Anolis sagrei: one gene and its partner. The protein of the gene in region 2 purifies or fractionates together with the protein of the main gene of each other region. This does not show direct contact. Links are inferred from orthologs where the notes say so. Each region holds a gene or a part of one and is shown on either strand. Other genes may lie near its edges. The genes, in order: FAM162A and VDAC2.

The links.
Region 1: the proteins of VDAC2 (region 2) and FAM162A fractionate together in Homo sapiens (co-fractionation; 3 studies listed by BioGRID and IntAct, with this or other methods). This does not show direct contact. The link is inferred for Anolis sagrei from reciprocal best matches to the Homo sapiens genes VDAC2 and FAM162A.

The regions. Positions count from the first base shown.
Region 1 is NC_090022.1:170,362,376-170,377,722, reverse strand, and holds the start of FAM162A (protein FAM162A), read right to left. Parts: upstream 6,898-15,347; 5' UTR 6,812-6,897; coding exon 6,787-6,811; intron 2,363-6,786; coding exon 2,225-2,362; intron 995-2,224; coding exon 889-994; intron 1-888. Other genes in the region: protein MIX23, read left to right, coding at 10,990-11,040, 15,069-15,194. UniProt on the Homo sapiens protein: Proposed to be involved in regulation of apoptosis; the exact mechanism may differ between cell types/tissues.
Region 2 is NC_090023.1:149,128,278-149,143,769, reverse strand, and holds the start of VDAC2 (voltage-dependent anion-selective channel protein 2), read right to left. Parts: upstream 6,101-15,492; 5' UTR 5,952-6,100; intron 4,189-5,951; 5' UTR 4,164-4,188; coding exon 4,127-4,163; intron 1,764-4,126; coding exon 1,689-1,763; intron 123-1,688; coding exon 73-122; intron 1-72. UniProt on the Homo sapiens protein: Non-selective voltage-gated ion channel that mediates the transport of anions and cations through the mitochondrion outer membrane and plasma membrane.

The DNA of each region.
Region 1 (15,347 bases), on a different chromosome or scaffold from region 2:
GGAAATTTTCGGCTACAGAGTCCGGCCGGCACTCCATCCTCAGAATGAGCTGAGTGTCATCAGCGTACTGGTGGCACTCAAGCCCCAAGCTCCGCACCAGTCGGGCAAGCGGTTGCATATATATGTTAAATAATAGAGGAGAGAGAATAGCTCCCTGCGGGACCGCACAAGTTAGCAGAGATCTCTCGGAAACCATCTCTCCCCTCACCACACGCTGTCCCCGATTCTGGAGGAAGGAGGACACCCATTTAAGGGCTATCCCCCTAACCCCAGTCATGGCTAGGCGGTGGGTCAATAGATTGTGATCAACTGTATCAAATTCTGCTGTGAGGTCCAATAACACAAGCAGCGCTGATCCGCCTTGATCCATCTGGCAGCGAAGCTGATCTGTGATGGCAACTAGCACAGTCTCCGTCCTGTGCCCACTATGGAAGCTGGACTGGAAGGGATCGAGTCTGGCCGTGTCATTTAGGAACTGCTGCAACTGTTCTGCTGCTGCCTTCTCAACCACCTTGCCCAGAAACGGAAGGTTCGAGACTGGGCGGTAGCTAGAGGGAACCGAACAATCTAAGTCTGTTTTTTTCAGCAGCGGAGATACCATCGCCTCTTTTAAATCCTCTGGAAAAACTCCTTGCTCCAGGGAGCTATTTATTATATTCAACAGAGGTTCACTTTGGAGTGTGGTAGAGTGTCATTTGGAATTTGTTAAAACAGAGACTGGACAGCCATCTCTCATTGTGCGTTTCCTATGGAGTTGGACTTAATGCTGCCTCCTGGTCTCTTCTCCATCCACCAGGGAACGGGGTGTGTGAGTACACTTTGCTTTTAATTACAGTTGCCCGATTCAATTCAGAAAGATTCAAAACTGGCAACAAGAACTGTACTTACGACACATTTTCAGGTATGTCCTCTGCTTTCTTATATCGGCCTGTCCATAGCAACATTCTCTTCTCTCGTTCAGTGGGCTTGTGTCCTGGGATTTTGAAAGAGGCTCCTACAGAAAAGCAAGGAAGAAAAAAAGATGAAGCAATAAGTCCAAACCAAAGACTCCATTTAAATAGCAGTATTGACACAATACAATTTTCTAAATCAGTTCCCCAAATAACCCCAGGAACAGGGCTAAAAATCAATACAACAAGAAAAAATATTTTGTTGTTAGACTGATTTTATTTATTTATTAATCAATTTTATATACCACCACTCCCCGAAGGCTCGGAGCGGTTCACAATATACACATGTAATACATAACATTAAAATCAAGGAAAAATTCGATCAGCAAGGTTCAAATGCCAGCCTAAACAAATAAGTTTTACAAGCTGTACGAAAGGATAGTATAACAGATGACCACTGCCACCACCTAAGACACCTTAAGATATTAAAGATGATTCCCTGAGGTAAGCTTTTCCCTGCCATCCCAATACAGCTCTCCCCATAGCTCCCAAAATGATTGTGATGTTATGATGTAAAAAGAATTAGAATTATCCCCATAGGAATGAATTACAACTGAGGCTTCTTTAAAAGCTGAAATAGAGAAAAGATTTATCAGAACAAACAAACAACTGACTTCTTTGACGAGGCACAAAAGCTTAAATGGTTACTAAAGTACAGTATTCTTGATGGTTTCTTTAAAACAGGTTACTTGACTTAACCTACTAGCGAAATTCCACACTCTACAGTAACGCAGTAGCAGTGAGTTCCCCAGACTAACCTACTCAGGCTGTCTTCAAAGCAATTAGCCCACTCTAATCAGAGTTTTCTACAGCTAATCTACTCTATCCAGAGAGCAAACCACTTGTGTAAACACTCACAAGCAATCAGGCGACTACTTTTTATTTATTTTTATTTATTATTTGAATGTATATGCCGTCACTCCCCTGGGGCTCGGAGCGGTTTACAAGAACAGGCTAAAGTTGAACACAATTTAAAAACAATTAAAAAAAACAGCAGTCAAAGGTCAAAGGCCCGTCGAACCAGATGTGTCTTACATGCCCTGCGGAAAGCTGTAAAATAATACCAATTTAAAGTATTTAAATCATGAAGAAGACCAGGAAAAAACATGCAGGGGTCAACTGTAGGCCTGCAAGACCACTAACCAGCTTTTCATAATTGTAAACAAACCTAAGGTTGCAACCCTGTGCACATTTTTTTTGGAGAATTGGACCCCTTTGATACATTTCCAATTCAGGACAGACACAATTTGGTTGCAAACGATGATGATGTTTACCTGAAGCCTCTGGTTTTGACGTCTGTACATTGGTCTCCTGGGTTTTGCTGCATAATCTTCTATTCAGTGTGTAACATGATCCTTTAGTAACACGCAGAACAGAAAATAGATTTTTGTCCAGGATCTGAACAACTTTGCCTGGGGGATAAATGCAAAGAATAGTCATGTAGAATGAGAAGGACAGATCTGGGAAAACAGCACTTAAACAAGTTTCAGATTTGTGAATTTAAATCTAACACATTTTCACTATGGAAGGAGCTCCACTTAAGTCAGAAGAGTTGATATGCCTACAAGTCACCAGACAATTTAAGGCAATCCCATGAAGCAAGCAATACCCAGAAGTAGTTTGTCATTGCCTTCCTCTGAATGCAGCCTACAGTCCCAGGGCCCCATACACAATACATAATTATACCACTGTGGTTCCACTTTAACTGCCATATGCTTTGTGGTTTGAGGTGACACCAGAAAAGCTCTCTCCAGCTGTGGAGGCCACATTGCCAAGCCCAGAACTCCACAGGACAGTTAAAGAGAAACAATAGCTCTTATGAGACCATAAAAGATAAAGGTAAAGGTAGTCCCCTGACATTAAGTCCAGTCATGTCTGACTCTGGGGTGTGGTCTCATCTCCATTTCTAAGCCGAAGAGCCTGCGTTGTCCGTAGACACCTCCAAGGTCATGTGGCTGGCATGACTGCATGGAGCGCCGTTACCTTCCCGCCGGAGCAGTACCTATTGATCTACTCACATTTGCATGTTTTCAAACTGCTAGGTTGGCAGAAGCTAGGGCTGACAGCGGAAGCTCACGCCGCTCCCTGGAATCGAACCTTCGACCTTTCGATCAACAAGCTCAGCAGCTCAGTGCTTTAACCCACTGCGCCACCAGGGGCTCCCTATCAGAGCATAGGGCAGCCAATAGTCCTTGCAGAACAAAGTCTAGAAGCAGATCTTTCCAAACTGTGTGTAGTAACACACTATTAAATAGTTCAGATCCAGGGTATCTAGCTGACCACATCCTCTTGTACGAACCTGCCCGGGCCCTGGGATCTTCAGGAGAAGCCCTTCTCTCAGTGCCACCTCCATCTCAAGCTTGGTTAGTGGGAACGAGAAAGAGGGCCTTCCTTCTTGGTGGTTTTCCTTCATTTTCTTTTTCCATGGTAAATTGGATGTTTGGGTGGATGCTGTTGAGATGGTCCAGAAACCTGTTTACTACTTCTTCTCCATGGCTCCAAATGGTGAAAGTATCATCTACATATCCACATATGGCATGCTCATCAGCTACCCACCTTCGATGGAGCCGCGCTATCTCCATCGACCACTGTTAAGAGCTTAGGTGTCATCCTGGATTCGCAGCTGACAATGGAAACTCAGGTCGCTGCTGCCAGCAAACAGGCCTTTTTCCATCTACAACAAGCGAGGCAATTGGCACCCTATCTATCTGACGAGGCTCTGGCAACTGTCATCCATGCCACGGTCATGTCTAGGCTGGACAATTGCAACGCCCTGTGTGTTGGCCTTCCAAAGTCTACGACCCGAAAGCTCTGTATTGTTCAGAATGCGGCAGCCAGGTTACTCACAAGAACGCCCATGAAATGCCATATAACACCAGTGCTGCAACATTTACATTGGCTTCCAACTGAGTACCGTGGCCTGTATAAGATGTTAGTTCTGACCTTTAAAATTCTTCACAGCCAGGGTTCATCGTACCTTAGGGACCGCCTCTCCTTCTCCTATCATTGAAGGCCGCAAAGACCAGCACAACGTGACTTACTGTATATACCGGGTCCTAGAGAAGTGCACTTGGAAAGTACCAGACGCAGGGCTTTTTGTATTTCTGCCCCTGCCTTATGGAATCCTTTGCCGCCCTACATGAGAGCCATGCGTGACTTAGGACCTTTTACTCTAGCACTTAAGACCTGGCTTTTTACTAGAGCATTCGATCTCTGTTAATTTTTAATTTCTGTATTACGTATTTTATCTTTTACAATTTAGCTTGTAAATCGCCACATTTCATTTCCAACAGACTTCACAACCTCTGAGAATGCCTGCCACAGATGCAGGTGAAACACCAGGAGAGAATGCTTCTAGTGCATAGCCATACAGCCCAAAAAACCTACAACAACCCAGTGATTCCAGCCATGAAAGCCTTCAACAATACAGTTATGCTGATGCATTTATGTTAAGCCGCTTTGAGTCCCCTCCGGGGGAGATAAAGCAGGGCATTAATAATGATGATGATGATGTGTCGTGTGCAATGTATGGGTGTGTCACACAAATATAAGGAGAATCCGCTGGATCTCTGTGAAATCTTTATCTATAGGCACAATAAAAGTGAAAATATGTGTGTATATGAGTGGCTGGGGCTCCCACTTCCACAGAGAGACTCCCACATCCACAAACAGCTATAATTTCCACCACTGAGGAGCTACCAATGGCTCCAATGACATTGCAGGTTATAGTGACACACACATGATTTAAAAACAGTTATTGAAATCACACCATCCAAAATCAATTCCTTAGCTGTTCCATTGGTCCATTCACTATTCCTTATTATCTTATTGCATTATGAACTTTGCTGTTCGAAAGCTTGGTCTCATACCACTTTTTTCCTTTCTTTCTGAAGGTCAGGAGGGAGGGGGCTGCTCTAATTTCACTAGAGAGGGAGTTCCATAGCTGAGGGGCCACAACTGAGAAGGCCCTGTCTCTCGTCTCCAACAGTCACGCTTGCGAGGAAGATGGAATTGAGAGCAGGGCATCCTCAGAAGAAGTGTGTCACCAACGCGAAAAGTTTGGAAAGCTCTGACCTGACGACCCTTCCACACAGCCATATAACCCAGAATATCTGCCTGGCCAGCCGCCAGAATTAATCCAGTCTCTGTTTGACTTCGATGGGGAAGCTCTGGTTCCGTCTTCCACTGTTAAAAGCCTTGGGGTTGTGTTGGACTCATCGCTGACGATGGAGGCCCAGATCACTGCCATAAGTAAGCAGGCCTTTTTAAATCTTTGCCAGGCAAGGAAATTAGCATCCTACCTTTTGGTAGAAGCATTGGCAACAGTAATCCATGCAACTGTCACCACGAGGTTGGACTATTGCAACGCCTTATATGCTGGCCTTCTGAAGTCAACAACCCAGAAGATTTGAATGGTCCAAAAGGCAGCGGCCAGGCTGCTAGCAGGCATCTATAACAGTGGTTCTTAACCTGGGGTCCCCAGATGTTTTTGGCCTTCAACTCCCAGAAATCCTAATAGCTGGTAAACTGGCTGGGATTTCTGGGAGTTGTAGGCCAAAACACCTGGAGACCCACAGGTTGAGAACCACTGATCTATAAGATCCCATATTACACCAATTCTGCAACAACTGCATTGGCTACCAATAGAACATCGGATCTCTTACAAGATACTGATCCTGACATTTAGAGCTCAAAATGGCCAAGGACCTTTATATCTTAGGGACCGCCTCATTCCTTTTCTCCATCAGTGGTCACCTCGATCCACCCAGGAAAATCTCCTATACATACCGGGCCCTAGGGAGGTACACCTGGAAGCTACACGGTGTAGAGCTTTTTCGACCTGTGCTCCAATTCTGTGGAACTCATTGCCTCCATACATTAAAGCAATGTCGAAGTTGCGACCTTTTGTAAAGGCACTCAAGACTTGGTTGTTTGGTTGTGCATTTGAGTAATCAGATCTAATTTGCCAAATAGTCACTGTTGAATGTTTTTATGTTGAATGTTTTAATATTGTGTAAATGCTATTTTAGATTGTAAGTCACTCAGAGCACCTTGGTGGAGAGCGACTAATTAAGAAATAAAGTGAAGTGAATATCAAGGTGAAAATCCCACAATATCTGCTTTGAACTGAGGAGATTCCATCTGAACATGAGGAAGAACTTCCTGAGTGTGAGAGCCGTTCAGCAGTGGAACTCTCTGCCCTGGAGTGTGGTGGAGGCTCCTTCTTTGGAAGCTTTTAAACAGAGGCTGGATGGCCATCTGTCAGGGGTGCTTTGAATGCAATATTCCTGCTTCTTGGCAGGGGGTTGGACTGGATGGCCCATGAGGTCTCTTCCAACTCTTTGATTCTATTATTCTATCTGAGTCCGCACTGCCATATGTCCCACTTCAAAGCAGATAATGTGGGCTTTTATTCAGCTGTGTGGAAGGGGCCTGAGAGGGCTTAGGCGCCAGGTTCCTCTCTCTTGGAGGCTAAGCAGAGCCAGCACTGGTTGAGACTTGGCTGGGGAGACGAACAACAAAGCCCTAAAGGTTCCCAACCTTTGGGCCTCCAAGTGTTTTGAACTTCAACTCCCACAGCTGGTAAGATGGCTGGGAATTCTGGGCGTTGAAGTCCAAAACAACTGTAGGCCCAAAGGTTGGGAACCACTGAGGGAGGCAGGAACTGGCAGAACTTCCCCAGAGCACTCCTTGCAAAACGCCCGGAAACGCACAAGGCCGCCAACAGGCGCCTCTCTTGGCCGCCTTGACTAGGCCTGGCCGGATGGATGTTCAGAGCCAGGCCTCCTCCCCGCCCCGGAGACCAAGGTCCAACAGCAATGGAGAGCGCACTCACCAGCGGCGGCCAGGGGGCCCGACATTGCGCCGCTTCCGGCCTTCTCCTTTGCTGCCAATCGGCCCTCTGACCAAGGCCAGCTGAAGGGAGGCTGGCCCCGCCCCCTGCCCGAGGAGGAGGGGCCGGAAGTGGAGCGGATGGGGCGGGGCCTCGCGCCCTTGGCCAAAGGAGGCCTGCTTGCAACCAAAGCTAGAAATTTATTTATCGTGTCAGGGGCAACTAGACCATTGTATTACATTTATAACAGAACAAAACAAACAGATTAAAAAAAAACACAAAGTTTGCAAGCTTGGTAGTTGGTTAAATGTCCTTTGACCAGTATCTGGCCACTTGGAGTGCCTCTGGTGTTACTATAAGAAGGTCCTCCATTGTGCATGTGACAGGGCTCAGGTTGCATTGCAGCAGGTGGTCAGTGGTTTGCTCTTCTCCACACTCACATGTCGTGGATTCCACTTTGTAGCCCCATTTCTTAAGGTTGGCTCTGCATCTCGTGGTGCCAGAGCGTCTTCCAAGTCGCCCAGTTTTCTGTGTCTCATTTGGTATCAGCCATGGATTGAGGTTCTGGGTTTGAGCCTGCCACCTTTGGACTCTCGCTTGCCGATGTGTTCCAGCGTGTCTCTGTAGATCTTAGAAAACTATTTCTTGATTTAAGTCGTTGACGTGCTGGCTGATACCCAAACAAGGGATGAGCTGGAGATGTCCCTGCCTTGGTCCTTTCACTATTGGATGCTACTTCCCGGCGGATGTCAGGTGGTGCAATGCCAGCTAAGCAGTGTAATTTCTCCAGAGGTGTAGGGCGCAGGCAACCCGTGATAATGCGGCATGTCTCATTAAGAGCCACATCCACTGTTTTAGTGTGGTGAGATGTGTTCCACACTGGGCATGCATACTCAGCAGCAGAGTAGCATAGTGCAGATGCAAGGGCAGATGTCTCCACTGTGTCTGGTTGTGATCCCCAAGTTGTGCCAGTCAGCTTTCGTATGATATTGTTTCTAGCACCCACTTTTTGCTTGATATTCAGAAAGTACTTCTTGTAGGTAAGAGCACGGTCCAGAGTGACTCCCAGGCAGGCATGTAGCTGGAGGGGGGGAGGGGGCTTGGGGGTTTTCAGCCCCCCCCCCCAAATTCTCATGGTGGTCTGCGAGAAGGCCTTACTGCTACATTATTGAAACTGTTATGTTATTCATATCATGATCTGATCACCATGCTCAATATATCCCATATCCATGGGGGTATTGGGGTAACAATACAAAAGGTTTGCTAGGGTAGACCCTCTTTCACTCATACTCAGCCTTCCCCCCCCCAAAAAAAAATCAAACTCAGCCCCCCCCCCCCCAAACAAAATCCTGGCTACGGGCCTGCTCCCAGATATTTGGGTGTGCTGCAATGTTCCAGTGGGATTCCTTCCCAGGTAATCCTCAGAGCTCGGGATGCTTGAAAGCTAGAAATGGAGCTCCTCCAGTTTTGTGCGTTTAGCTCAGGTATGAGCAAACTTGGGCCCTCCAGGTGTTTTGGACTCCAACTCCTGGAATTCCTAACAGCCAGTAGGTACTCTCCATTGGTACTCAATTTGCAGGATCCCATGAAGTGTGTTAACTAGGGATCATGCAAATTGAACACCATTGGAGAGAGTATAAAACACTGAAATGTCCATGGTAGATGAAACACATAAAACCTAGGATTAAATTGGGTTTGAAAGCATTCACTTGGGTGGTGCGAAGTATTGTGTTTTGTGGAGCACATTGGTAGGGGCTGCCATACATCAAGGGAACCACTGACCGCATAGGAAAGCTGATGAGGAAACACAACATACAAGCTATCTACAGACCCACCAAGAAAATCCAACAAATGCTACGTTCAGCAAAGGACAAGAGGGATCCTCTCACTTCTGAAGGAGTCTACCGTGTACCATGCAGCTGTGGACAAGTCTACATAGGGACCACCAAACGCAGCACTGCCCAAACATGAATCAAGGAACATGAACGGCACTGCAGACTACTTCAACCAGAGAAATCAGCCATAGCAGAGCACCTGATGAACCAACCTGGACAGCATTTTAGAACACAGCATTTGATAACACAGAAATGCTTGACCACTCTCACAACCACCATGTCAGACTACACAGAGAAGCCATTGAAATCCACAAGCAGGTGGACAATTTCAACAGAAAGGAGGAAACCATGAAAATGAAAAAAATCTGGCTACCAGTATTAAAAAACTCAAAAATTACAACAGCACAACAACAGAGAGGAAACAAACAAGGACATCAAATCACCTCTCAACAAAAGTTTGCTCTAGCACTGTCAAGCCGTTATATGCTAATCAAGGTGGTCAGTTGAAACATTCACACCTAGCTCCAGCAGACAAGAGTCCTTTGTCTCACCCTGGTCATATAATAATACACATAAACCCTTTTCCTAGTTCCAACAGACCTCACTACCTCTGAGGATGCTTGCCATAGATGCAGGCGAAACGTCAGGAGAGAATGCCTAGACCATGGCTATATATGTGGGGTTGCCATTGAAGACATAATGTTATGTTTGGGGGTCACAACATGAGAAACTGTATTAAGGGGTCATGGCATTAGGAAGGTTGAGAAATACTGCCCTAGAATAATAGAATCATAGAGTTGGAAGAGATCTCATGGGCCATCTAATCCAACCCCTTCCCAAGAAGCAGGAAAATTGCGTCAAAGCACCCCTGACAGATGGCCATCCAGCCTCTGCTTAAAAGCTTCCAAAGGAGCCTCCACCACACTCCGGGGCAGAGAGTTCTACTGCTGAACAGCTCTCACAGTCAGGAAGTTCTTCCTCATGTTTATTTATTTATTTATTTATTTGCTTTACTTCTATACCGCTTTTCTCAGCCGAAATGGCGACTCAAAGCGGTTTACATAATACAAATTATCACAACAATATCCAGGCAATTAAAACACATTATACAAGACATACAAGGTCAAAAAACAATCATTATCATAATCGTAGCGCCTCAGCAACAAATCAGAATCATAATCCGTAATCATAATCCTTTATACCAATTCCTATGTTCGGTTGTACCATCTTCCTGTATTCCATTGCACTATTTAGCCAAACGTTTGTTCATAAAGCCAAGTCTTGACCTTCCTCCGGAACGCCAGCAGCGAGGGGGCCTGTCTGATGTCCACAGGTAGGGCATTCCACAGCCGAGGAGCCACCACCGAGAAGGCCCTGTCCCTCGTCCCCGCCAGCCGCGCCTGCGATGCAGGCGGGATCGAGAGCAGGGCCTCCCCAGATGATCTTAATGTCCTAGTCGGTTCATAGGTGGAGATGCGTTCGGAGAGGTAAGTAGGGCCGGAACCGTTTAGGGCTTTATAGGCTAAAGCCAGCACCTTGAATTGTGCCCGGTAGCAGATTGGCAGCCAGTGGAGCTGGCGCAACAGAGGAGTGGTGTGCTCCCTGAGTGCCGCTCCTGTCAGCAACCTGGCTGCCGAGCGTTGGACCATTTGAAGCTTCCGATGGAATTTCCTCTCTTGTAGTTTGAAGCCATTTCTCCACGTCCTAGTCTCCAGGGCAGCATCATCATCATCATCATCATTTAATTACTTATTAATCACCCTCCATCCAAGATGCTCTAGATGATTTCCAAGCTAAAATGGTAAAGGATAAAAATACATACAGATATTGATAAAATTAAAGCAGAAAACAAGCTTGCTCCCTCCTCCCTGTGACTTCCTCTCATGTATTTATACATGGCTGTCATATCTCCTCTCAGCCTTCTCTATTTCAGGCTAAGCATGCCCAGCTCTTTAAGCCGCTCCTCATAGGGCTTGTTCTCCAGACCCTTAATCATTTTAGTCACCCTCCTCTGGACACATTCCTGCTAGTTGATGCCTGCGGCCACGCAAGTGCTCTACACTGACTATTTAGAACACTTTGAAGCCAGCTTCAAACTGCTTTGGCCTGACAAGAAATCCCCACAGCCACAGAAGCACATGAAAGCATGCCCTTAATGCGCCTCAGTGCCCTGTGGTTCACCCTCGAGGCCTGGAAAAGGCGGAAGTTGACACAAGTGACCTAAAGCTCAGTGGTGCCACCTCCTCCCGCCTATTTGCCTGCGCAGGCGCAGAAGCCGCAGCCTCGTCCTGCCTCAATTCAATCTCGAGGGGGGAGGAGCTACTCTTGCGCCGCCGCGCTCGCTGATTGGCTGTGGTTGTGACTCTCCAATATGGCGGCGCCCAACTCTCATCCAAACTGTGAGGACTTTGCTGAATTCCAGGTATGGCCCCGGAGGCTGTTTCTCCGGAGCGAGGAGGCCATAAGGACACGGGACAGGAGTCGGTGGCCTCTCCCGACCCCTGGATCGTGTAGTTCAAACATCCTAGAAGTATTAGAAGGGACTCCCGAAGGCCAGCCGAGCCAACCCCCTTCTTGCCAGGCAGGGAGGCACAAGCCACATCCGCCCCACAGATGTCCAGGCCCTTTCTACACTGCTCTATAGCCAGAATAGCAAAGCAGATAATCCACATTATCGGCTTTGAACTGGATTATCTGAGTCTACACTGCTAGATAATCCAGTTCAAACCAGATAATCTTCAATGTATTGTCGAAGGCTTTCATGGCTGGAATCACTGGGTTGTTGTAGGTTTTTTTGGGCTGTATGGCCATAGTCTAGAGGCATTCTCTCCTACCTTTTGGTAGAAGCATTGGCAACAGTAATCCACGCAACAGTCATCACAAGATTGGACTATTGCAACGCCTTCCGTAGTCAACAACCCAGAAGATTGGATGGTCCAAAATGCAGCGGCCAGGCTGCTAGCAGGATCATCTGTAAGATCCCATATTACACCAATTCTGCAACAAACTGCATTGGCTACCAATAGAACATCGGATCTCGTACAAGATACTGATCCTGACATTTAGAGCTCAAAATGGCCAAGGACCTTTATATCTTAGGGACCGCCTCATTCCTTTTCCCCATCAATGGTCACCTCGATCCACCCAGGAAAATCTCCTATACGTACCGGGCCCTAGGGAGGCACATTTGGAAGCTACAAGGCGTAGAGCTTTTTCGACCTATGCTCCAATTCTGTGGAACTCATTGCCTCCATACATTAGAGCAATGTCGGAGTTGCGACCTTATGTAAAGGCACTCAAGACTTGGCTGTTTGGTTGTGCATTTGAGTAATCAGATCTAATTTGCCAAATAGTCACTGTTGAATGCTTTTATGTTGAATGTTTTAATATTGTGTAAATGCTATTTTAGATTGTAAGTCACTCGGAGCACCTTGGTGGAGAGCGACTAATTAAGAAATAAAGTGAAGTGAATATCAAGGTGAAAATCCCACAATATCTGCTTTGAATTGAGGAGATCCCATCTGAACATGAGGAAGAACTTCCTGAGTGTGAGAGCCGTTCAGCAGTGGAACTCTCTGCCCCGGAGTGTGGTGGAGGCTCCTTCTTTGGAAGCTTTTAAACAGAGGCTGGATGGCCATCTGTCAGGGGTGATTTGAATGCAATATTCCTGCTTCTTGGCAGGGGGTTGGACTGGATGGCCCATGAGGTCTCTTCCAACTCTTTGATTCTATTATTCTATCTGAGTCCGCACTGCCATATGTCCCACTTCAAAGCAGATAATGTGGTCTTTTTTTCAGCTGTGTGGAAGGCATTCTCTCCTGACGTTTCGCCTGCATCTATGGCAAGCATCCTCAGAGGTAGTGGGGTCTGTTGGAACTAGGAAAAGGGGTTTATATATCTGTGGAATGACCAGGGTGAGACAAAGGACTCTTGTCTGCTGGAGCTGGGTGTGAATGTTTCAACTGATCACCTTGATTAGCATATAATGGCCTGATAGTGCCTGGAGCCAACTTTTGTTGAGAGGTGATGAGATGTCCTTGTTTGTTTCCTCTCTGTTGTTGTGCTGTTGCAATTTTAGAGTTTTTTAAATACTATATAACATTATTGTGTATTGAACCCATGAGGTCTATGGCAAGCATCCTCAGAGGTAGTGAGGTCTGTTGGAACTAGGAAAAAGGGTTTATATACCTGTGGAACTGTGGTGCTGGAGGAAAGTACTGAGAGTGCCTTGGACTGCGAGAAGATCCAACCAGTCCATCCTCCAGGAAATAAAATCGGACTGCTTATTGGAGGGAAGGGTATTAGAGGCCAAGATAAAGTACTTTGGCCACATCATGAGGAGACAGCAAAGCCTAGAGAAGACAATGATGCTGGGGAAGGTGGAAGGTAAAAGGAAAAGGGGCTGACCAAGGGCAAGATGGATGGATGGCATCCTTGAAGTGACTGGACTGACTTTGAAGGAGCTGGGGGTGGTGACGGCCGACAGGGAGCTCTGGTGTGGGCTGGTCCATGAGGTCACAAAGAGTCGGAGACGACTGAACGAATGAACAACATACCTGTGGAAACCATGAAAATGAACAAAATCTGGCCACCAGTATTAAAAAAAACTCTAAAATTGCAACAGCACAACAGAGAGGAAACAAACAAGGACATCTCATCACCTCTCAACAAAAGTTGGCTCCAGGCACTATCAGGCCATTATATGCTAATCAAGATGATCAGTTGAAACATTCACACCCAGCTCCAGCAGACAAGAGTTCTTTGTCTCACCCTGGTCAATCCACAGGTATATAAACCCTTTTCCTAGTTCCAACAGACCTCACAACCTCTGAGGATGCTTGCCATAGATGCAGGCGAAACGTCAGGAGAGAATGCCTCTAGACCAGTGGTTCTCAACCTGGGGTCCACAGATGTTTTTGGCCTACAACACCCAGAAATCCCAGCCAGTTTACCAGCTGTTAGGATTTCTGGGAGTTGAAGGCCAAAAACATCTGGGGACCCCAGGTTGAGAACCACTGCTCTAGACCATGGTCATATAGCCCGAAAAAACCTACAACAACCCAGATAATCTTCCTTCCACATCTGGAATATTGTGTCCAGTTCTGGGCACCACAATTGAAGAGAGATATTGACACGCTTGAATGTATCCAGAGGAGGGCGACTCAAATGATCAAGGGTCTGGAGAACAAGCCCTATGAAGAGCGGCTTAAAGAGCTGGGCATGTTCTCAAGGCTGAGAGGAGACATGATAGCCATGTATAAATATGTGAGAGGAAGCCACAGGGAGGAGGGAGCAAACTTGTTTTCTGCTTCTCAGGAGACCAGGATGCAGAACAATGGCTTCAAACTACAAGAAAGGAGATTCCATCTGAACACGAGGAAGAACTTCCTGACTGTGAGAGCCGTTCAGCAGTGGAACTCTCTGTCCTGGAGTGTGGTGGAGGCTCCTTCTTTGGAAGCTTTTAAACAGAGGCTGGATGGCCATCTGTTGGGGGTGCTTTGAATGCAGTTTTCCTGCTTCTTGGCAGGAGGTTGGACTGGATGGCCCACGAGGTCTCTTCCAACTCTATGATCAGATACAAGATTATATGGCAGTGTAGAAGGGGCCTCGGCCTCTGCTCCAGAGAAGGAGCATTCCGATACATTCAGTCATTTTACACAGATTGAGACACTTCTCCCAGGGCCCTTCCACTCAGCCATGTAACCCAGAATATCAAGGCAGATAATCCACAATATCTGCTTTGACCTGGGTTATCTGAGGGCCCTTCCTCACAACTGAATAAAACCCCACATTATCTGCTTTGTACTGGGTTATATTGCAGTGTGGACTCAGATAACATAGTTCAGAGCAGATATTGTGGGATTTTCTGCCTTGATGTTCTGGGATATAGGCCTGTGTCGAAGGGCCCTGAGTCCACACTGCCATATAAACCAGTACAAAGCAGATAATATGGGATTTTATACAAGAAAGGGGCCCCAGAATGTCAAGGCAGAAAATCCCACAATATTGTCTAAGAATTGAGGCCCCTTCTACACTGCTGTTTAAAATCCCACATTTTCTAATTTGAACTGGATTATATGGCAGTGTAGACGCAGATATTTCAATTCAAAGCAGATATTTTGGATTACCTGTGTATCTTTGGATAGCATAGGGAAGAGTTTACACTCCTGTGGCGTTTGTTTTGCTGTTCAGAAGATTTGACCTCACTTTCTGTTCCTGTGCCAATTGGAACTTGAAAATTTGGCTTGTTGTGGAAAAAAGGTTTGGTGAAAAAGCTTCAGTGGAGACACCTTTTCTCCATGATAACTCTTTCAGGAGTGAATTGCCCTTTTGAGGGACACATTTCTCTGACTTCCTGTTGTCTCAGCCTGTTCTTAACTATGAGTCATTTGTAAGTTAGATGTGTGTAACTCAGACTGTTAAAAATCTGTTATTATTTTATCTCTACAGGAATTGCTCAGAGTGATGAGAACAATTGATGACAGAATAGTCCATGAGTTAAATACTACAGTTCCAACATTATCTTTTGTAGGAAAAATTGATGCTCGCCAAACTTGTAAAGAGCTTCACCAGTCGGTAAATATCTCTGTTGTTCTTCTCTCATATAGGCCCCTTTTAAAATATATGTTATCAGGCCGTAACTGACATGTCAAAAAGTAATGATGAACATAATTGACTGATATCATTTCAATGTTCTTATGCTCATTCTGTCTTATATTATATCCCTTA
Region 2 (15,492 bases):
GAATGACTAATGGGAAGCCAGGATAAGCAGAAAGTGAAGGTAGCTGTATGACTCCCTGTGTGAAGCACTTACCACTCCACTTGCAGATTTCGTTTTCACATCCAATTTCACCAGGCCAAAACCTTGACAAACAGATCAAAATTACTACCACTTTTTAAAACTTAAGCAGTCAAGCAGTCCACACTATAAATTGAGTTTTGACTATGTTTCGAGGTGGAGTCATATTGGTTCTACTACAAGAAAATTTTGATGTTAAAAAGTTCTGATGGAAAACAAGGAAAAATATAGCATGTATATATAAAAAATAAAATGTAGAAAAAATAAGGTTACACAATTAAAATCTATTTTCACCCAATTCTGGATATAATTATTTGTTTGAGGAAGAAAGGTCTCCTCACTTTCACATATCCTTGTGCCAAAGACAGATGAGAAATGAATGAGACTGGAATCTAGGAGCAGGGATGAGGCAGAGATCTGTCCAGAGAAATACACTCTCAAGTTCCATTTCGGGTGAAAGGATTTTCAGAATGGGTCCTATATACACTGTTTTACAATACGTTCCAGATGCAATCTGATAAAGACAGGATGTATTTATTTACATCTAGGTGATTACATTTTTTTTAATCAGCAGAAGGAAAATATAAATGTAAACCAAGTTTTTTTATGGACACATATTCTTCCATGACTTTCCATTACAATGTGAGCCTGATTATTAAGCCACATTTATTTAATATTGTCCAAATATTCTAGCTGGGGCTTTCATGTTGCATTGCCTATGTTCTACGCATTTTTTTCTTAGGAAAAAATGTCTAACAAATATTCCTACAGAGTATCTTTTTTGCTTTATAAGAGGTGTGATGATCTGTAAGGTTGAGAACAAGAATATAGCAGCATGTTAATCTGACATTTAAACAACATATGTCTCTCAACAGCTAAACAGTGAAGGTTCTGGCTACATCACAACTTTCCATTAGCACCAAGGAAAATCTGCCCCGCTATTTGTCACCACTGACTTGTGGTAAGGATTCTCCCCATTGGACAGGAGTAACTCGCCTACCTCCTGTTTCAGTCAGGACAAACAGTGTGGAGGGCAGAACCCTTACTACTGAAGAGATCCATTCCCAAAGCCAAATACCACAATGCTAAAAATATGTGATTGGGGCTACAGAAGACACATCTGAAAGTCCAAATTGAGACCACCCTTACATGCTTTTTTCCACCCCTGAAATCCCTGACGATAATCGCCCTGAGTCCCCTTTGGGGTTGAGAAGAGTGATATACAAATACCACAAATAAATAAATAAAGACATGGAATCATTATTTTAGAAAACAGACAATTCATTGGTCAAAAATGGTTCAATAGTGCAAAAGCAAATAATTCCAAAGGCAGCAGTTTTATTTAATTTAGCCCTGGTGACATTCCCAGATGCTGCTGAAAACAAAATCAGAAGTGGTATCATGCCACTCCCACCTTAAGAGTAAACACATCTCTGCAGTGCCCTTGAGAGGCACAAGGGCAAAAACTGGCCTTCAACCTTGACTCAGTCCTCCAAGAAATGGTAGTTTGCCATAATACTGTTTCTCTCTCCCTGAAACTACTTTGTTCAACACCATGAAGGGAAATGGGACAAAGATTGGCAACAATAGTACATGGACAATACCACATCTATCACAAATTTAATTCATACCAAATCCTTTGTTGAAGATGTCTCTGGCAGACTTGCCGAGATCTCCATATGCTGGTGGGATAGCCATTGGAGTTGCTGACAAACAAAAAAGACATATCAGTACTGAATTTTCTTTTAAAAATTAACTGCATTTATTTTTAACATTAAAACATTCCAATGTTTTACTATGGCAGTGAATACAAAACTGCTTTATCATTACAGTTGTTAGTTCCACTTGTAATTATATTTGATTTTTTTAAAAAAATATTTGTAGGTAGGTGTCCAGAGAGGACAACTAATAAGATACATACTGTAAACGTACTGCTTCATGGTTAGATACATTTATTTAATATTTTTTCTTTAAAAAGAAGAATATGAAAGGCTATACAACCGGAAGATAATGAAAGAAGACATCCTTTTCAGACCAGAACGCCCAAATATTTTATGGATATTTAGGACACACTTTTTGGATACAAAAGACAAACTTTTTGCTAGTCTCTTCTTTCTCACTCCATACATTAAATTCCTGCAAACAAATGTTTGTATCCGACAATGGTACAAGCTTATTTCACAACAAGGCTGAGTAACAGCTGCACAATGTTAGAAAAATCCAATATCCTCTTTACTGTTTAAGGTCTACTGTCACACAAGAAAATTGTTCATTTTGTTATGCAGTTTTGTTGACAGATGCCTGGAATCTGAAGAAGCAATAGAGATCACAAAAAATTGCATGGTATTCAGGGGACACACAAACACCACCGTTTAGCACTCCATGACCTGCTGCCGCATTTATTATTTTTTATTATTTTCAACTTTTAAAGTACTGATGTGCTGATATTGGAATACAATGTTTTTCTCTGGACAACAGGTACTCCTGGGTATACCTTAATGAGACTCTATATCCAAGAAATATGATCTTTAATTTTGTTTTCTTTGAGTACTTTGAACCAATGTTACAGATGCCAAGTTTTAAGAGAATCCTAAAACTAATTGGAATCTATGATTCTCTGGTCAATGTTTTAGCATTATTTCCATCTGCAATTCATTGATCATCATATTATAAATCATTGTAGAGTTGGCTGCTCAGCTCTGAGAGCATAGCTAAAGGCTAAGGTAAGTGTACCACCCACAGAGCAAGTCTGAAATGGGCAGCGGGGGTGGCATTTGACATTAATGGAGTATTTTGGCACTTCTGGAATGCTTACCCAACCACAAAGTCCCTGTTTTAGTTTTTCTGCTGTGCTGCATAGAAGTATTATCTGCCATGCCTTATTGTGCAGAGAAAATATCCTCACATTAGGATTAATTCTACTGTAAATCTTAAGGCAAGCATGATAAAGCATCCCTGGATTGCACCACATCCTTTACAGTAAATAATAAAATTCAGTGGTTGCATTCAACATACAGCAATGTTCAGTATATATTATCATTACAGTCTGACAATGACATATTATAAGGATTTCTTTCCTTGTATTATCTGTATATTAAAGTCACACACAGTTGTGTGGGTTTACTTGTCTAGTTTTATTAGATGGGACTAAATAATTGAAATATCTTCTATGTCCTGAAAGATCAGCAACTTGAGAACTTGGGAGGCAAATTAAGGTTCCAAGTACCATCACCTCTTCCTGTTTTTTTTCGGTTTAGAAGAGGTAGAAGTGGAGCACCTCTTATCCAAAGTGCATGGGACCAAAAGTATTTTGGATTTTTCAGATTTGCATATTCATAAGTTCCGTTTCCTACTACTGTATGTAACTTTTTAGCCGAAATACTATTCTCTCTCCAAAATGCAGAGAAGCTGATAAAAACATAAATTTGCAAAAATAATAATAATCATGCAATAAAATGTTTCAGTCTAAAAAGTTATTTAATAGTAAGCTGAATTAAAATACACGGAAGTAATTTCAAGTTATGCATTAATGTTATCTTCCAGTCATATAAAAACTTCTTCTTGTCTCAAATGGCTACAGTTTTCAATTTTAAGTAGACCCCCAACTGGAACATAAATGTAAAGTGAGACAAATAAATCTTTATGCAAAATTTAGGCAAATATTAGTCAAAAGCAGGTAGATGCATGACAATTAAAACTAAATTTCATGAAGATTGGATAATGCTGCACCCTTCACTGAAGTTTTCTTTCAAACTCCTCCTCACCCTTATCTCAAAACACTCCTAAGTAATTCTTAGAAGGCTTTGGAAATATCTCTAGTTTCCATCTATTAAGTAGAACATGCAGAAAGACACAGAACAGATGGAAGCAAATTTTCATTTAAGGCAGTTCAATGGCACATAGGCTTATTTCAAGCACTTAATATTACCAAAAAGAGTCAACTTCTTCTGATTATCAATGAACTGTTTTGTTAGATATTAGTTTCCCTTCAAACTTTTCGATGACTAAACTTATCAACATATTAGTTTAATTACTTGAACATCCTTACTTTAACTATGTCCCTACTTACTTCTTGACGGGAGATGACATGCTGGATTAAAACTCATAGCTATCTACTCCAATTTAGAAAATCTATAAAATGGGAAGAATTAGATTTTTAAGAAAATTATAGAAATGCAAGTTAACTGGAGTATAAACAATTTCAGCATTGGTAATTTTTAAAATCTTGCATTACAATTAGATCAGAGCTTTCCAAACTGTATTGGGATACACTCATATGTCACCTGTAGTCCCTAGGTGTATAGCATGAAAAATGCTCTCCCACCCACACCCACCCCAACAAACAAAGTCTGGTATTGTTCAAGTGTAAGTGCTGTTTAACCTTTATAATTTGAGTAATTGGTTGTGTTGTAGTAATTGCCACTAAAATGCATAAATGTCTAATTAAGAAAAAAATTTTTAACAATGTTTGTGATGAAGCACGTGGAGAGGAAACTACGCAAGATCAACTGTAGTACATAAGTGTAAAAAATCCAAACCTTGTTTATACAGTATAGTTTATATGAAAAGTATATATTATACTTTATTTAACATAGATCTTATATGTGTGTGTGTGTGTAATCATATATATAGAGAGAGAAACAGAAAGAAACTCTTGTAAGGGGTTGGTTTAAACTCTGGTTTGTCAGGAAAACTCAATTACTGTGTCACAAAAAGGAAGCATGTCTAAAAAGGGTGTCACCAACATGAAATGTTTGGAAAACTCTTCCAAACAGATCTAAGTCCTTATCATAGAAGCTGCCTCTGCCCCACTTATGGGATAAGATTGTGGCTTTGCAACGATGCACAGGTGAATGAGGGGCAGAAGAGTGAAGGGGAACCAGGACATTCCTACAATTACTGCAGTGTGACCTGTTCCATGCCGCCATCTTAAAGAGACAGACTGGCGACCCCTTAAATATCCCCGGTCCCTTATTCTATTGTTTTCTACAGCAACAAACGAAGAGCATATCCCTCCTCTTGTTAAAGTTCAAATTCTCCCAGAGCTGGATTCTTTTGCTGCTGCTCTTGCTGCAAATTAAAGAAAAGACATCTATATTAAGAGGAGAACAGAAATTGGAGGTAACAGCAGGTCACAAGAAAAGAATACCTGAAAAAGAAAAAAAAGCTTAAACCATTTAAGAAGCACAGAGAGGAGTAACCAATTCCCTCAAGGCTGCAATTTTAGAAGGCTGAGTGTGTGAAGAGGAGGGAGAGCCAAGAACAATGGCCCGGGGATTAAAAATGCAGGTTACAGACATACTTAAAAGACAGGGAGAGGAAACAGAAGTTGAGCAAAGGAATAAGACAGAATGAAGTATCCCCCTTTTCCAAGGATAATTCCACCAAAGGCAGCTTGGCTAGAACTTATACTAATTAACCCAAAAAGGGGAGAAAGAGGCAGAAAGAAGGGAAGAGGCCTAAATCCAGTTGGAGACCCCGAGGAGAATATTGCTTCACCACTCACTAATCGACTCCACACGCCTACTACTTTAATGGAGGCCAGCGACTGTGTTTAGGCCTTAATTTCCGCCCAGATCACATGTCCATTCGTTCTTATTGGGAGAACACAAGGCTTTGAGGAAATACTAGGAACAGACTTTTGCAAAGAGAGGGGCACTCCTAAGGGGGGGGGGGGGTGAGGCAACTTCGCAAGGCTGTTGGGAAAGTAACGTGTGGGGGGGGGGAGTCTCCAAAGTGGGGCCTTGGCTTTGGAGCAGCGCCAATTCCATGCAGAGAGAAGCCTCTCTTGGAGGGTCCTGAGCCCTCGCTTCCTCCCCACCAATTGGGAGGCCGAGCACCAAGACCCCCCTCCCCCGCGGGGCCCGCCGTGTTTCCATGGCAACCCCGCCTACCTGTCTACACGGGGAAAGGGCGCAGGAGCGTCTCTATATCGCACCTTTCTCGCGCGCGCGCTTCCTTTCCTCTCGCCGCGTGAAGGCCGCGCTGGAGGGCGAAGTGAAGGAGACACCTCGCGCTCGCCGCCCGCCTGCACGCAAGGACCCTCCGAGGGAGAGCGAGGGTGGCCCTGGCAGGCGCCTGTGCCGAACCCCTGCCGCTGCCTTTGGGGATCCAAGCAGTCACCTCAGCGAGGGGGCCAAATCGAGGCGCAAACGCCGCTGAGAGAATACAAAGGGAAACGACGCCCTGAGGGTATTCTCTAATTAGTCAGGCACTGCGGTAGGATGCCCCGCGAGAGTAACGGAGAGGTCCTCAGCCACAGCAGGGCCTGGGGCGGAGAAACAAAGGGGCGGGGCCAAGAGAGAAGGCGGGAGAGCGAGGGGGACGAGGAAGAAGCGCCGGGGCGTGGCCTCGCTTGCATAACGGGGGGAGGGGGGCGGGAGGAGCAGAGCGTTCTGGGCATGCGCTGTGTGAGGGAACGTGCAGAACGCGCTCCTCGTGCCCTGGGCGCGCGCCTCGCCAAGGAAACCCCGCCACAGGAGGGACAGAGCCGCCCTGGCTGCCTGGAGAATGGACTGAATGGCTTGGACGCTTGGGGCCTGGCTGAGGTCTATGGAGGTCTGGCAGGGCTAAAGACACCATCCTAAAAAAAGATGAAACCAAACTGCATTATGGAAAGAACAAAAGAGCTGGATAATTCATTACCATGCAAAGGGCTGATGGGAAATCCAGAGCACAACTGTTGAACTTTTGGTTGTAAACCACACCTGTTTACATAATCAAATACAATGTTACCTTAAGAAACAACCTCTCTGGCCCAGAGCTCAATGTCACAGGTTATCTAAACAACCAAAAATCATTACATAAAGAGAGCCTTTTCCTTTTCTATTGTGTGCCAGATCTGCAGGGAATGCAGCATTGCTTCTCCAGCAGAAGAAGCAGAATCTACGAAGCCCACCTCCTTCAAGATGAACTGAATCACCTCAACTGGGCTCTACAGGCCAATGGATACTCCACCTCAGACATCAGCTGCAAGACCAAGAACAAGCCACAAGAGTTGTGATGACACGCTGGGAAGACTGATAAGAAAATGTCCGGCTATTTTCCCAGTGACCATCAGTATGCCCTATATCAGGGGTCCACAAACTTTTTAAACAGAGGGCCAGGTCACAATCCCTCAAACTGTTGGTGGGCCGGATTATAATTCGAAAAAATCATGCACATTGCAAATATCTTATTTGTAGTGCAAAAAACATTTTAAAACAATACAATAATTAAAACGAACAACAATTTTAACAAATATAAACTTATTAGAGTTTCAATGGAAAGTGTGGCCCTGCTTTTGGCTGATGAGATAGGAATGTTGTTGTTATTGTGTGCTTTCAAGTAGTTTCATACTTAGGTTGACCCAGAGTGAGGGCCGGGTAAATGACCTTGGAGTGCCGCACCTGGCCCCCGGGCCTTAGTTTGAGGACCCCTGCCCTATATGTACTTTAATATCTCCAAAATAAAACTCTAGAGACGAGACTAAATTTAACCAATTGTTTACTGAATAATCAAGGTGAATCAAAACAAGGTATACAAAAGTGTAGTTTGATTCTTGATGGTATAGAATTAGAATAGTAAGGTACAGGTATAAGGTACAACTGATGTAAAGAACAAACTATATGAAATAATATTCTCTATGATGGTACAATTCTAATCTATAAGGCATACACTTCTATACTCTTTGGGCAAATACTATCTATATTCTTCTATACTCTATGGAGGCATATACATCTATATTCTATGGAAAGTACATCTATAAACTCTGGGACATGTACTGCTTAGGTCTTTGGCATGTACATCTATAAACTTTGGTCTCTGAGGCAAATACGTGCTAAGGATTGCCTGTTCCAAACTGCAAAGCCAGACCAGACATTTTCTGGCTAACTACTACAAGCTCAGTCAAAGAAGGATGGAGGGGAAAAGGCCTTCCACCAGGCTCTGAGCCAAAATGGGCTGAACCAACAGAGCTCGGCCTCTAGGGGGATCTTAAGCTCCTACTCTAAAACTTAGCAGAATGGAACAGTCCACCTCCAGGGAGCAAACAGAGAAATAAACAGAGGGGTAAAACTAGGCTGAGACTTCACAAGGGTCAAGACAAAGATCCACCCAGATGAAAAGTGTTCTTGCCATACATCAAAGGAACCATTGACCACATAGGGAAGCTGATGAGGAAACACAACATACAAACTATCTACAGACCCACTAAAAAAATCCAACAAATGCTATGTTCAGCAAAGGACAAGGACATTTAATTATAAATGGATGTATTGTCGAAAGCTTTCATGGCCGGAATCACTGGGTTGTTGTCGGTTTTTTCGGGCTATATGGCCATGGTGTAGAGGCATTCTCTCCTGACGTTTTGCCTGCATCTATGGCAAGCATCCTCAGAAGTAGTGAGGTACCCCCCCCCCCAATCTCACTACCTCTGAGGATGCTTGCCATAGATGCAGGCGAAACGTCAGGAGAGAATGCCTCTACACCATGGCCATATAGCCCGAAAAAACCGACAACAACCCTATAAATGGATGATAAGTAATAGTGATAATTGAATACAATTTAATATAACACAATACTACAACTGGAAAAGGGTTAGCTGCTCTTCCGAATATCAACCAAAGAAACTATGAAGCCAGATACGGAGACAACTGGAAGTCGAAATTACCCCTTCTACCCCCTCCCCAACCTCCCTGATTTATCCTTTTCCTCTCCCCAATACCGTTTAAAAATATTGAACACGTTCTGCTATAATATTTCTTTTCTGGATGTTTCAGTCCATGTTGGATCACAGATGGTACATTTTATTACTCAGTAAAATAATTTTTGTCATACCTGCCCTGTGAAATAGGCCTATGTAAATAACAACATTAAGAAATTTAATGCATTACAAACAATCCTGTTGCTAGTATCCTGACCCTCCTAATTTTTGCAGCCCTGGGCAAGTGGCTAAAACAGGTTTATGGAGCCCGTCAGACTGCATTTCATTGTAGTAAATTATAGAATTGTGTTGGCCTGCTTTACTAGGAAAGAAAAGTGTGAGAATATGTGCATACTCGAAGCAAAATAGAGCATACTAATGAGAGGTGCACGGGCCATAAACCCACCACAAGTGTTTTAAAAATAATTAAAGTGTACAATCCTATTGGAATGCAAACCACTACCTCCACCCAGGAAATATTCCACACAGGACCTTTACAACTAGTACATTTGTACAGAGTTTACAACAGATGTGTCACATATTTTCTATGTCATTAGCTGGAAGACCAGTGACAGAGTTCCAGCTCACTACTTCCCTACCAATATAATTTTTAAAAAGGAACGCCTGCTGAAGCTTTGTAATCCACATCAAGATGCTGGAAAAATACCTTACAAAATGGCAACAACATTAACCAGATGTCATAGCGGGTTTAATAGCCAGCTCTGAGATTAAAAGCTGAAATTGTTGAAACATATTATACAAACACTTCAAAGAAGCTCAGAGGTGAGAGCGCCCCAGGTAACCACAAGAGGAATACTAGGTCAAGAAGCTGGCAAATTGGGCCAAGGTAAATATATAGGACACCGATTTATTAGGATCCTGACATTAAAAAACATGCACAGAAATGTCATAGAACAGAACCAAAACACAGGCATCATTTAGAGATTAGACAGAGGGACTGGCAGAAGCCCTCAGTCAGCAAAATCATTACATAATACCAGCTTAGCAGGCATCTGCCAGACAAAACATAAAGCCAAAACCCTATTGACTAGAGTTATCAGCCTTTGCAGTCTTGAACTGAAATAATAAAATTCTATGAAAACGCTCAAAAAGAGAGGCAAATATTTTTTAAAAATAAAATACATACTCCACATGTTTGTTAGATCTAGTAAAAGGGGCTATTATATATACCAGCACGTGATAATATGTTTGTTTATTGTGCCAAGATTGCATCTCTATTTTAAAATCTTGCATTTTGTTTTGTCTTGCAGTCTTGATACAAGTAATGAAAATGTGGCTCTCTATTTATTTATTTATTTATTTATTTATTTATTTATTATTTACCTTACTTATATACCGCTGTTCTCAGCCCGAAGGCAACTCACAGCGGTTCACAACAACAGTTTGTATCTCTAGATACAAACTGTGTCTGCACTCTTGATAGATTATAGATTCTGTCCAGGAGCGACACTATTCATCCCAACCAGCAAAGGAATATGAGGCATATTTAGACCTTGAAAGGAAGGATATTACACGCAAACTAGGGACTTCATCACATGGACTTACGGATTTGTAGAGAAGCGTGGGGGTCTGTCCCCATAGCGATGGGAAAAACGCTTTTTGAATGCAAATCGCTCTGTGAAACTTTTACTGCTTCCCATCCCACTGTTTTCTTGAAGCATTCTTGACCCCACGTTGCCCGCCTTCACATTCATCACATGGGGAAGGCTTGTCATGTCCTCCCTGCTTTCCCCATTCTCTATCAGCCGAAAAACCTCTTTTATCTTTCTCTCTTTAATCTGCTGATTCTCCCCAGTCAAACACTGCTCTCTGTTTGCAGCAACGAACCAAAACAGGGAAGGATACTTCCCATCCCACGTGTTTTTTGTTTTAAAGAGAGGATCAAATTGCAGTAGCAGCTCACAAGACGATTACTCACCCCTGGAGGGAACTCCCTCCTTCATGCTCATTTCAGTTAGAGATGGGAACACATGACAACCGGAAGTAGTTCAACGTCATGTGATGGGCTCCATTCCTCTCAGTCACTGAAATGAGCCTGAAGTGTCCTTGTTGGTAGGTGTAGTTGGTTCCTGCTCTGAGGACCATGTCTTATACCCAACCTCAGTGCGCAGCATCTGCCAAGTACTCTTTAGCATTTCACAAAACACATGTGACCAAGTAACGTGTGTGGTAAAGGTAGCACAAGCTATTTCAAGCTATTTCATGAGGAGTAATATAAGTTAAGATTGATTGCTTTTACCTAATTCCACTCCCACCCGTTCAGTTTACTCAGTATAAACAATTTTTGCAATTTGCTTTGAAACTACCTCATCACACAAGGTTCTTTTAGCTCCTTGGTCCTCTTCAGGGATGGGGCCTGCCAAGCACCATCACATGATGCAAGCCATGACTCCCCCCCACATTGGTGGCCAAAGTGGTGAGGAAGCATTGCAAGACACTTCCTCACCAACAACAGCGGGAGGTAATTTGTGTTTTGGGTAGCTCAAGTGCAGCTACCCACATTTTTCATGCCTTTCTCCCATCTGATGGAGGCAGGGACAGGGCACCAATGTGCCTTGTCCCAATGCCTCCATGTGATGGAGAGAGAGTGAGCAGGTTGCAGCAAGGTGCCTCGTACACCTTCAGTTTCACCAGCAATTGCCATCAAAACGGAATAAAATATGGGGAGGGGTGTCAAAAAAGACAGAATTGGAGAAGGAGACTGAAACTTGGACACTTAAAAGTTAAAAAGTAGGAGAGAAGATAGATAGATGGATGGATGGATCGATGGCTGGATGGGGAGAGTCACATTTCACATCTCAAGTTTGCTTGAGATGTGAAAAAGATCTGAAGTGACTTGAAACATGGGGGAGTTAAATTAGTGCTGTCTTAACATAGGAACCCCTTTATTTATCCATCAAGGGAAACAAAGCAAATTGGATAAGGTTAGAAAATAGGTCTATGGAGCTAGGATTTTCATGTTATACTTCCTGAATGATGGCATATTATGCAAATATTATAGTGAGATGAGAAAGGGTTAAGCAAAACCGACCACAGATTTCCTACTTTAAACTATCCCTTTAAAGTTCACTTTATAACTTTGTGTGTCATGTGTTTCAAACTTTTGGCCAAATAAAAATTTAAAGAATAATTGAATCATAGAGTTGTAAGGGACTAGAAGGGTCATCCAGTCCAAACTGCTACCATGCAAGAACACTCAAAAGTACCTTCAACTGATGGCCATCCAGTTTCTGCTTCAAAACCTCCTGGGAAGGAGATTCCTCCACCCTGTGAGGGAGGGTCCCCAGGTGTATTGGCCTTCAACTACCAGAAATCCTAACAACTGGTAAGCTGGCTGGGATTTCTAGGAGTTGTAGGCCAAAACAGCTGGGGACCCACAGGTTGAGAACCACTGGTTTAACTTTTCTTCACATTAAGATGTTTTCCTCATGTTTAGGTGGAATATTTAAACATGTCTATTATGTCCTTTGTCAGCCTTTTCTTCTCCAAGCTTAACATACCCAGCTCCCTAAACAGCTCCTCGTAGAGTTTGGCTTTCAAATCATGTATTGTGAAACGTTAGGCTGCAACTCTGTGGAAAGTTTCTCAATTGAATTAAATCACTGGCTAATCATTGAACCAATGGAACTTACATCTCATTAAGCATGTTTAGGATATATCATTTATTTAGGAGTGGTATTCTCAGTCGCAAAAGCAGTTGATGCTTCATAGTGTGTATTTTTTCTTTTATGTGTTTTAGAAGTATGCAGGTGATCGTAATACAGTTCCAATCAGTGACTAAACTAAATGAGGTTCAGACAGTATCAAGATTGCCCATTGTGGCATATGAGTGCGTCCCAGGTGACATACCCATGGTAGGGGCTTTTGGGAAAGTCAGAGAGGTCTACACCCCACCACAGGTTTTCTCACACTCTTTCCAACCTCCCTACAAAATGTGGAGAGCACAGCCCTTTACTAACACCAAAGCCCTCCAAAATGCCTCAGGTACCCACCCCATCTTATTTCTCATTCACTCACTCTCCCACACCGAGTCAATCCTGCAATTTGAGAAAGAGAATGAAATTTTCCATTACATTCATCTTTACCTGTATGTTTATGTCCTTTCTTTTTCTTCTTCTTTTTCTTTTCTTCTATCATTTCTGTTTTTCCACCCTCCGACATAAAGAAAGGTAGGTTCTCCGACATGAGAAAAAATAGCACAGGGGTTCAGTTTCTTCAGCAACTCCTGACGTGACTGAAGCCACAAAGCCTGCTAAACTGATAGACTTTAGCACTTTACTGCCCTATTGTAGTGAGGAAGATATACTCTACTCCCCCTGTCTTAACAAAAAGATTAAGGGGACTGTTGTAATTGAACAAAGGAAAGCTATGACTTAAGTAACAAATACCTGTATCTTGCCGTTTATATAGCCCTGGGATGGTTAAGTTTTTAAAATGACAGAACTTAAAATTTCTCCTAGATCACTTACATGAAAGTATTATATTGAGCTCAGTAGGAGTTTCGTCAAAGTAAGAATAGACTGTATGGTATCAGGTTGCCCTTGTACAAACCCAAACATTGTATCTGGACTTCAGGGTATCAGGTTACTCTTGTACAAGCCCAAACATTGTTTGGCTTTACAGAATGGAAGTTTCTGCTTTAATTCTGCCAGATCCTCAGGGAGATCCTGTGTAGTATGTAAGTATCTGAGAGTGTCCTCTTAAACTCGATGGCAACTTACTCCTGAGTAAATAAACATAACATCAAGATGCATTCTTGTTTATAAATACATCCCATTGAGGTCAATGGGATTTACTTCCAACAAATTCATCTAAGAATGAAGTGCAACTATTTGCTCAGAGGGAAAAAACTATTTAACTTAACTTCTATCCTTGCTGCACTCTGGTGGTAAAAACACACCTGAAATACTTCTTTCCATACTTCTTAAAGATGCAGCACTCCAAGGCATACTGCTTTCCCCTGTGCTCTATATATCTGTACAATAAGCAGGGATCCACAAGGTGTAGTACCTGCTAGAGTAAAAGTGGCAGTACTAAGCCTGTGAGGGCAAGGGCCAGCTTCTGATGGGACCTCAGATAGCTTGGACAAAGGGGTATCCTTTACTAACTGTGAGAATGGATGAAGAATTGTTGTAGGCTTGAGAGAACCCTCCAAATGCCCAATCTCCTCGGTTACATATTCTGTTAGGGAAGGGCTTTTTAATTCATTGGCAGATTACATTTTTTGCAAGAAAATCCTTCAGATCCATCTCTAAGTATGGTCCCATCTGGAATCACAAGGCATTCCTTCCTCTCAGTGTAGACAACACTGGACTAGATGAGCCAATGTCTTGACTTTTTAGAAGGACATTTCCAGTGTTCCGAACCATGTATTTTTTATGCTTAACTTAAACAGCAGAACATGTTTTGCTTCTATTCTGGTTGGGCTGAGACTCTAATCATTGCAGTCTTGGTGTGCTCAGAAACAGCTCGGGCCCCTTCTACACTGCCATATAATCCAGATTATCAAAGCAGATCATTCAAATTATGATAATGAACTGAATTATCTGAGTCTACACTGCCATATAATCCAGAAAATCTGTATAGAAAATTCAAGGAGATGGATCTTGTTTATAAATGTTTATAAAAACTTTGGACATTCCCCCCAAAATTGTGGATATGTGAAATGTTCTGAAATGTGATGGGCTAACAGTGGTAAATGTGTTCTACCATTGTAGCACATTACGCCTCAAATATCTGTCAAAATGAGAAAAAAGACCCTGAAATTTCCCCACTTGAGCAATTGCTATAATGAAAAACCAATGAAATGTTGTTATTCTCATTATAGTAATGAAATTTTCACTAACGCTACTTTAGAAACACTTTAGAAATGAAATGCCAGCACCCCGTAATTTTGTAATGAGTTTTGAAAAAAAATTTCATCAATCGCACAGCACTACTAATGACCTAAATAAATTAATTGCATTAAGTGTTGAGTTATCTGCATTTTAATTAGGAGTTAAGATACCTTAGAATGGTTTCTATGAAATCAGTAATCTGGAAAGTTAATTATCCCCATCCCCAAAGTTCTATTGAAAATACTCAGATCATGTCATCCAACTCAGATATCCAATGAAACTGGGTATAGGAAGATTTAGAATATGCAAATGTTTTATTTCTCAGCATAACAATGAAAAGTCTAAAGCAGTTGAACAGGAGCAGGCGGAAAAAAACAGTCTATTAAATTCTACCTTTCATCTAGATGATTAGGCAGATTCATGTACCAGGCAGTAATACAATACTTCTCAAAATGGCCACTCATGCTACCTCTACTAAAACCATATGATTCAGCAAAGCATTTGACCATAGTATGTGCAAAATGTTTGTCTATATGTTGGTTTTATGTTAGCATATGTTACGTTAGGAGGGTTGTAAATCAGCTGGAAGACATAAATACAGGTTCTGTATTCATGTCTTCCAGTAACCATATCTTGAAAATATATTTTTAATTCTCAAAAGCAACCCCTGATTTTGTAGCCAGTGAACACAACCCTGTTCAGTGCATACTCTGCTATAGTTTTTTTCCCACTGCACAGGTTCTGCCCAGCACCCGTTTACCATTTATATAAAGGACCATTGTACTGCGCCATTCTATATAATAGATACCACATTCCATGGATCTTGGTATCCATGTAGGTCCTAGAAAAAATCCTAATAGATACATGGGTCCACTGCATTCTCATTTCCATCTA